Linked DNA regions of Macaca fascicularis. The protein of the gene in region 1 purifies or fractionates together with the protein of each later gene. This does not show direct contact. Links are inferred from orthologs where the notes say so. Each region holds a gene or a part of one and is shown on either strand. Other genes may lie near its edges. The genes, in order: DCAF6 and CUL4B.

Region 1 (4,306 bases):
GAAAGTGTGACCTTTACTCCAAACCCTACAGTGCGACAAGCCACCCACCCAGCTCTGCCTAGCGTGGGTTAATATGCCACAATTCGAAAAGAGAAAGAGAATGAGTGTTTCATGGTGGCTGCAGACACTTTCGTGGCCGCAGAAGCTGAGAAGGCTCAAATTTGGAGGTCAGGTTTGGGTTGGAGTCGTGCGTAAGGGAGCGGATGTCACATAGGTGGGGAAGGGCGCTGACTTGAGATACGTTGGCTTAGGAAGAGATGTTGCAGGAGAGAGGGTGAAATGCAGAGGCTAGGAGAGTAAACGGCTTCACCTGAGGGGAAGGAAGGAGTTGGGGCTGTGGGATGCCTCTAGTGGCAGTTGTCAGAGGGCCTCTAAAAGGTCCATTTTAGAGGAAGGGGGAAGGAAGGTCTAGATAACGAGCCATTCAGGGTCCATTACCTGCTGGATGGTTGTACAACGGCCTCAATTTCTCGGGCAGCATCAGCTCCACTTTATCGAGGAGCCGGTGGTAGCTGGCCCGCAGGCCTCGGGCACCGGCGGCCGACATCGCCGCCGAGGGATCGTGAGCAGCCGGGTGGGAGCGTGGCTCTGTTCTCGTCCCTGGCTGACAACGAAGGGGAGCTAGTCACTCTTCCTTGCCACGACGCCTGGCGTCCGTCTCTCGCCTGGAGAGCCCTTCCCGCGGTTCTCGCTGCCCGGCTGTGAACCAAAAAGCTGCCGCCCGCACCCCGCGAAGGTTGAGGGGGCGGAGGCTGCCAACGGCCCGCCCCTGGTCCGCCTCCGCCCCGGCAGGAGAGAGGGAGGAGGAGCCTCGGCAACAGGTGCCAAAATAATCACCTCACCGAGTCCGCCCAGCGCCCTCCTGGCAGCGCGCTTGCGCAGACTGAGCTGCCCGCCATGATTGGCCCGCCCCGAGGCGCGGGCAGGGTGCAGCGGAACCTCCTCTTTCTCCCCGCTGCCCTCGAGGCCATGTTGGAGAAGGGAAAGTGAAGCTGCGCCGGCTCTACTGCCCCTTAACTTTGACTAAGCAGGCCCGTAGTTAAAATGGGCTTTTCGGGCCTTCAGTGCCTAAAGATGATGCTGCACTATTCTTTTGCTTCTTTTGACTGGAGACTCGTGAGCGAGAGACTACAGAATTGAGTCGCTTCTCTCTCTACTCCTCTTTTATCCCTAGCGACTTAAGAATCTGGTTAGAGTGGCCCGAATGCATTTTTCCACGGTGAGGGCAGCCGCGGCACACACCAGCCTCAGTCCCCGAGGTGGTCGTCATCTCGCGAGAAAGGGTTGGCGGGGAGGGTATCCAGGACGAGGAGAGGGAGGAGTCGCCATCGCCTCCGCCTCCGCCTCCTCCTGTTGGAGGGGGGCCGAGGGAGGAGACTGTTGCTGATCTTTGGATGTTCTGGTTAGTCTAAGAAGGAGAGTATGAGGCGAGCTCCGGCCCGGGTGCGGCCGGGCTTCGGGGGCCCAGGCGCCGCTGCTGCCACCGCCATCTAACGCTGCGCCCTGGAGGCCCGGCGCGCGGATGGTGCCGGTGCGGCTCGGGTGTTGATCCGGTGTCCCCTCCCCCTCTTCCCCTCCCCCACGCGGTGGTCTCCCCTCCCACCCGGCTCAGGCAGAGCCATGTCTCGGGGTGGCTCCTGCCCACACCTGTTGTGGGACGTGAGGAAAAGGTCCCTCGGGCTGGAGGACCCGTCCCGGCTGCGGAGCCGCTACCTGGGTGAGCGGGGGCCCCGGGGCGGAGGCGCTGAGGTCGCCGCCCAGAGTGGGGGAGGGGGCGCACTGCCGGGGCTGTTGGAGGTGGGACAGCGTCTCGGCGAGGGTGCCCCGAGACTCTGGGGTGTTGGGTGGGGCCTCGGTCGCCGAATCCCGTGCCGGTGCCTCCCCCAGTCAAGCCCCCTATGCTTGCTGCCAGCCGCCGCCCTTGCTGGGTTTTCCTCGGAGGGCCGGGCCGAGGGCAGAAGGTACTGGCTTGTAAAGGTGTTGGGGTCGCTAATAGGTTGGGACTCGGGGGACTTGCGGAACCTCCAGGAGCTGCCGCGTTTAGAGCAAAAGTTAGCTCTTTTGCTCTTTTCCAGCGCGCTCTCCCCGCTGAGCCGGAGAACCTAAGTTGTTGCCCACCCTCGTCTTCGATCTCAAGAGGGTTTAGGTGTCGGCTGCGACGCGTTGACCACCCTCAGGGACTTCACGCTCCAGACAGAATCCGTGTAAACTGTTCTTGCGGCGCTGAGCCAAAACCTAAAAGTGATAGCTGAGCTCTCCCCACCCCCGCGCGCTCTCCCAGTTCCACTCTGTTCTTCAGTTCGTTTTGACCGCTTAAAGGTGGTGTAGGGTTTCACGTTCCTTTTCCCACCCCTGGAAAACACACTTGGCATTTACAGTTTCTTAGTTAAGCTTTCTAAAAACAACCTTCAATACTTGAGGGAACAGTATTCCACTTTTTTCGTTTTGCATAACATTTTTTTTTTTTTTTTGAGGATTCTGGGTCACGCCCGAGTCAACTAAAAAGTTTGGTTTCGTAAAAATGGACGTACTTAGTAAAGGTCTTTTTTGTTTCTCCCTGTATACTCTTCATTACTCTTTCTATTTGGAGATATGGCAAACAACATCAAACAAAATTTTTCTTTACAGTTTTGCCATTTGCTAGGTAAAAAGTGTTTGTTGCTGTCATTTGTTTTTGATTTCAAGTAAAGAGAAGAAAATGAAATCTCATTACAGCCAACAGTTCTGGTTTGTAAATTATTTAAGAAAAGTTAGCATGCAATTTAATTCTTGCTTTTTAGTGTCTCAAGTAAAATACGAATACATTTTGTTTGTAGAAGCTCAATAAAAATGAAGCAAAAATCCCTTTGATTCCTCCCATTCAATTTCACTTCGCCACCCTTAGAAATAATATTTTCTGTTTTCTGAATATTCTTCCAGACCTTTTTGTTTGCATTCTTACAAGTACGTATGTATATGTACAAATGCTAGGGTGTGTGTGTGGTGTGTGTGTATATGTGTGTGTGTGAGAGAGAGACACCTGAATACATGGTCATATCGTAAACATTGTTTTAACTTCTCCACGTTTTGGAGATCTTTCCATGGCAGTAAAAATAGATTATGTCTTTTAAATTATTACATAGTATGTAACATTATGAAGTACCGTAGTGTACTCAACCATTCTTCAAGTGGACGTTCGCCCTTACAGCATTGTAATGAACATCATTGTACAAGCTTTTGTGCATTTGTTGTAGGATAAGTACCTAGAGTGGTGATTAATCATTTTAAAATTGAACATAGCTAGAGTCTGCTTTTTTAAACTATTTGCCAAAAAAAGTGTGCAATATTTCTTTTAGAATTTATTTGTGGAGAGAGAACTTAATTTTAGCTTAATAAAACAAATGTTAACGTTGTTTTGCATGAATACATTGATAATTTGGTCCTTTATGTCAGTTGGACAGTTTAAGTACTTGTATACAGTTCTATATTTTAGTGTTTTCCTTTGGTTCAGTTACTTTAGCTATATCTACAAATGAGTTAATTAAAATATAACAAAACCATATACTTTCTTTTTCCTCTCCTACTCCGACTCCCTAATGGAAATGGAATTTGTATATTGGGTCTAGGGGAATTGAAGGGTTCACTGACTATAGTAGAAATCCTGAATTATAGTTTTTCAAATGTGTATATATATATACACACACGTACATACAGGGAGTTCTTTATCTTAAATAGTATTTTAGATATGATATATACTCTTTTTTTTTTTTTTTTGAGGCGGAGTCTTCACTCTGTCGCCCAGGCTGGAGTGCAGTGGCACCATCTCAGCTCACTGCAAGCTCCGCCTCCCGGGTTCGCGCCATTCTCCTGCCTCAGCCTCCCGAGTAGCTGGGACTACAGGCGCCCGCCACCGCGCCCGGCTAATTTTTTGTATTTTAGTAGAGACGGCGTTTCACCGTGTTAGCCAGGATGGTCTCGATCTCCTGACCTCGTGATCCGCCCGCCTCGGCCTCCCAAAGTGCAGGGATTACAGGCGTGAGCCACCGCGCCCGGCCGGATATATACTCTTAAAATAGGACATTTTTGGAATGACTTCCTTTAAAGTGGTTTTCTAAGTACTTGAAAATACTTTTTGAAAGTATCGAGACTTGAAAATGTTTTCAAAGAACTAACTGACTGGCCTTTACCCTTAGTAGACCTTTGCGCTGTTATTCAACTCTTCTACACTACAGTGCTGATCTTGGCTTTGCATTCAGGAAACAGCAAAATCCACGTTGGTAATGTTTGAATTAGTGATTTTTTAAAAAAAATGACTTTCCCTCCCAGT
Region 2 (3,811 bases), on another chromosome or scaffold:
CTTGTTTGAAGATACTGGTTGCTGTCCTACATTAAAACTTTTCTCCGCTGAGCGCAGTGGCTCACACATGTAATCCCAGCACTTTGGGAGGCCGACGTGGGTGGATCGTGAGGTCAGCAGTTCGAGACTAGCCTGGCCAATCTGGTGAAAACTCATCTTTACTTAAAATACAAAAATTAGCTGGGCGTGGTGGTGCACGCCTGTAGTCCCAGCTACTCAGGAGGCTGAGGCAGGAAAACCACTTGAACCCAGAAGGCAGAGGTTGCAGTGAGTCAAGATCGCGCCACTGACTCCAGCCTGGGTGACAGAGTGAGACTCCACATCAAAAAAAAAAAAAAAAAATTTTTTTTTTCAAATATTGCATTAAACCTTATTGGAACTGAAACCATCAGTTTCAGGATGCTGCAGTTGGAAGTCTCTTACAAATTCAAATGGCAAAAACAAACAAAATATTCACCTTCACTGTTTTTGTTTTTTTCTTTTTTTTAGACAGAGTCTCACTCTGTCACCCAGGCTGCAGTGCAGTGGCGCAATCTCAGCTCACTGCAACCTCCACATCCTGGGTTCAGGTGATTCTCATGCCTCAGTCTCCCAAGTAGCTGGGACTACAAGCACGCACTACCACGCCCAGCTAATTTTTATATTTTTAGTAGAGACAGGGTTTCACCACGTCGGCCAAGCTGGTCTTGAACTCCTGACCTCAGGTGATCCACCCGCCTCGGCCTCCCAAGGTGCTGGCATTACAGGCGTGAACCACCGTGCCTGGCCCACCTTCACTGTTAATCAAACAAATAGTGAATAAATCATTCAGATTTTTCACCAAGCAAGTTGGAAAAAGAAAATATAATCTTTAGTGCTGGTGGACATAGTAAGACAGGCTCTCATATGCTGCTGGACAGAGTATAAACTGGTTCAGTCTTTCTGGAACACAATATGACATTATGTACTAAGACTCCTAAAATGTTCATACCCTTTAACCCAAAAAAATCTACTTCCACACATTTATCATATATCAAAGAGATTAAAATTTAGGTTCAAAGAGGTTTCTTGCAATTTTATTTATAATACTAAAAAGTCATGAATTTAATTGCCCCAAAATGAACAGTGGTTGAATAAACTGTAAGAGCCATGTAAAAATATTACACTGCCATTTGCCATTTTTTGAAGCTATTTAATGGCATGGAAAAATTCTAAAGATTGAATATTAAATAAACAAAGTAGGATATAAAACCATGTTGAGTATCAACCCAATCCTGTACAAGCACTCTCCCAAAAACCCAAAATCAAATACGGAAATATATTTAGCTGGACATAGCAGAGAAAATGTTAATGGTATTGGCAGTATTACAGGTATAAAATCTTTATATATTTTAATTATTAACATGTATAATTCCAGTGTGTTAGGACTAGGAGAAAGTGAAAGAAATACCGTTTCTTTCATCTGGATTTGATTGATCTTTATCCTGAAAAGTTTGTGTTTGAAATCATCATTACAAATGAACTTGTCACCATCTTCAATATCTTTGCCCTTTGGATTTTTTGCCAGAACTCTAGCTTTGCCACAGGCTAATGACTGCAGTGTTCTCCTTAACTCTCCATCCTCTGAAGAAGAAAGAGAGGTTTAGTTATTTGTTACCAGCATGAACAACTACCACATTCTACCTCAATCTAGTTTCCACTCCATCCCCCTAGTAAAACTGTTTCATTTTTTCCCAAAGGTCACCAACAACTCTTCTTTGTCCTAGCCAATGGCTTTTTTCCTAGTTCTCTTCTTTTTTTAAAAAAAAATAGAGACGGGGTTTCACCATGTTGCCCAGGCTGGTCTCAAACTCCTGAGCTCAAGTGATCCACCCGCCTTGGCCTCCCAAAGTGCTGGGATTACAGGTGTGAGCCACCACGCCCGGCCCCTAGTCATCTTTTAAAGGTGTCAATTATCGTATGATGTGCGCAACTACCAAATCTTCCAAAATGACATTTCACTTCTCTCCAGTTGCACGTTTAAATGGCAATTCCGCCTGGCTGTTTTACTATCAACTGTAGTCACGTCCAAAATTTGATTCATCATCTCTATATAACTGTGTCCTCTTTCCAACTGTCAGTGGTGATACTACTAACCTTCGCAATTGGGAAACCCTGAAATCATCTTTTAACTTTTCCTTCTCCCTCATCCTCAACATAATAGCTAGCTGTTGCTTCTGCAGAGATGAATTTTCTCCATTTTCGTGGCCTCATTCTAGTCTAAGGCCCTTCCACTTTATGCCCGAATCATCCCAACAGCATCTAAACTGGAATCCCTTGATCCTTCCAGTTGCCCTGTACATTGATTTCAGTAAGTGGTCCAAATAATTACTTCCACCACGCCACATAGTTGAGACACTACAATGTAGGTTTGCATTTGCTAGATTTATCAGGTTCTCCACAATCAGGCACTACTCATCCTACCTAATTTTTTAACTCACTATTCTGTTACAATTAAGCTCTTCATGATTCTTCATGATTCCGTGCTACAATTAAGCTCTTCATGGGCCTATACTGTGCCCATTCCTACCTCCAATCTCATCTCAAAATATTTCCCCTTGCTGTATATGCCTTCTCCCTGACCAAAACTTGAAGGCCTAGCTCAAATGCCACTTGCTTCATGACAGCTTTCCCAATTGTGCTAGTCCACAGTGATCCCTTGCTTTGTTGAACTCCTACCACACTTAGTCAGTACCACAAGCCAGTACTTATTGGTTCTGACATTATTTCAAGTGTCATTTCCCCCTTTCCCTATGGTTATATTAAGAGTTTTGGCCAGGTGCAGTGGCTCACACCTGTAATCCCAGCACTTTGGTAGGCCGAGGCAGGCGGATCACGAGGTCAGGAGTTCGAGACCAGCCTGGCCAACATGGTAAAACCCTGTCTCTACTAAAAATACAAACATTAGCCAGGTGTGGTGGCGGGCACCTGTAATCCCAGCTACTCAGGAGGCTGAGGCAGGAGAATCACTTGAACACAGGAGGTAGTGGTTGCAGTGAGCTGAGATCACGCCGCTGCACTCCAGCCTAGGTGACACAGCGAGATTCCATCTTGACAGGGGGAAAAAAAAAGAGTTCTGGCTGGGTGCAGGGGCTCATGCACGTAATCGCAGTACTTAGGGAGGCTGAGGCAGGAAGATCCCTTGAGCTCAGGAGTTTGAGACCAGGCTAAGCAACATAGTGAGACCCTGTCTCTGCAAAAAAAATTTTAAAAATTAGCCAGGCATGGTGGCATGCACTTGTAGTCCCATCTGCTTGGGAGACTGAGGCAGGGGAATCACTTGATCCTGAGCCATGATTGTACCACTGGACCCCAGCCTGGGTGACAGACTGAGACCCTCGTTAAAGAAAAAAAAAAACCCTCAAAAGAGTTCTGAGGCAAGGGATTATTCCTATAAATGTCCCTCAGACCTCTTAACACAGTGGTATGCACATAGTGAACACTTAATGTTTGCTAATCAACCAATTCAACACAAACCTATTCCGGTTGCCTGCTTGATCTCTTCTAAACTGAACTCCTCTCCCTCATTAAACATTAGCAGCACCAGTGTTTGAAAAAGAGAGACCTGGAGTTCTTTTTTACCCTGTTGAAGAAATAAAAGTGTTTAGCCATTACTTTTTTAAAAACACATGAAAAATTAATCAAATCATCTCTTACAGGAAAAGCATTTTTCAATTAGTAGATTTAGAAACATGATTAGCATTATCCAGCAAAGCCACTTGACGTAGTAATACAGTATTTCAGTGTGGGGTTTAGGTGTGACCCTACCTAAAACAGGGGGAAGGATTAGCTG

The links.
Region 2: the proteins of DCAF6 (region 1) and CUL4B purify together in Homo sapiens (affinity purification with mass spectrometry; 6 studies listed by BioGRID and IntAct, with this or other methods). This does not show direct contact. The link is inferred for Macaca fascicularis from reciprocal best matches to the Homo sapiens genes DCAF6 and CUL4B.

Annotation. Positions count from the first base shown.
Region 1 is NC_088375.1:25,600,796-25,605,101, forward strand, and holds the start of DCAF6 (DDB1- and CUL4-associated factor 6), read left to right. Parts: upstream 1-1,392; 5' UTR 1,393-1,620; coding exon 1,621-1,717; intron 1,718-4,306. Other genes in the region: MPC2 (mitochondrial pyruvate carrier 2), read right to left, coding at 439-547. UniProt on the Homo sapiens protein: Ligand-dependent coactivator of nuclear receptors. Enhance transcriptional activity of the nuclear receptors NR3C1 and AR. May function as a substrate receptor for CUL4-DDB1 E3 ubiquitin-protein ligase complex.
Region 2 is NC_088395.1:126,807,494-126,811,304, forward strand, and holds part of CUL4B (cullin-4B), read right to left. Parts: intron 3,602-3,811; coding exon 3,496-3,601; intron 1,603-3,495; coding exon 1,430-1,602; intron 1-1,429.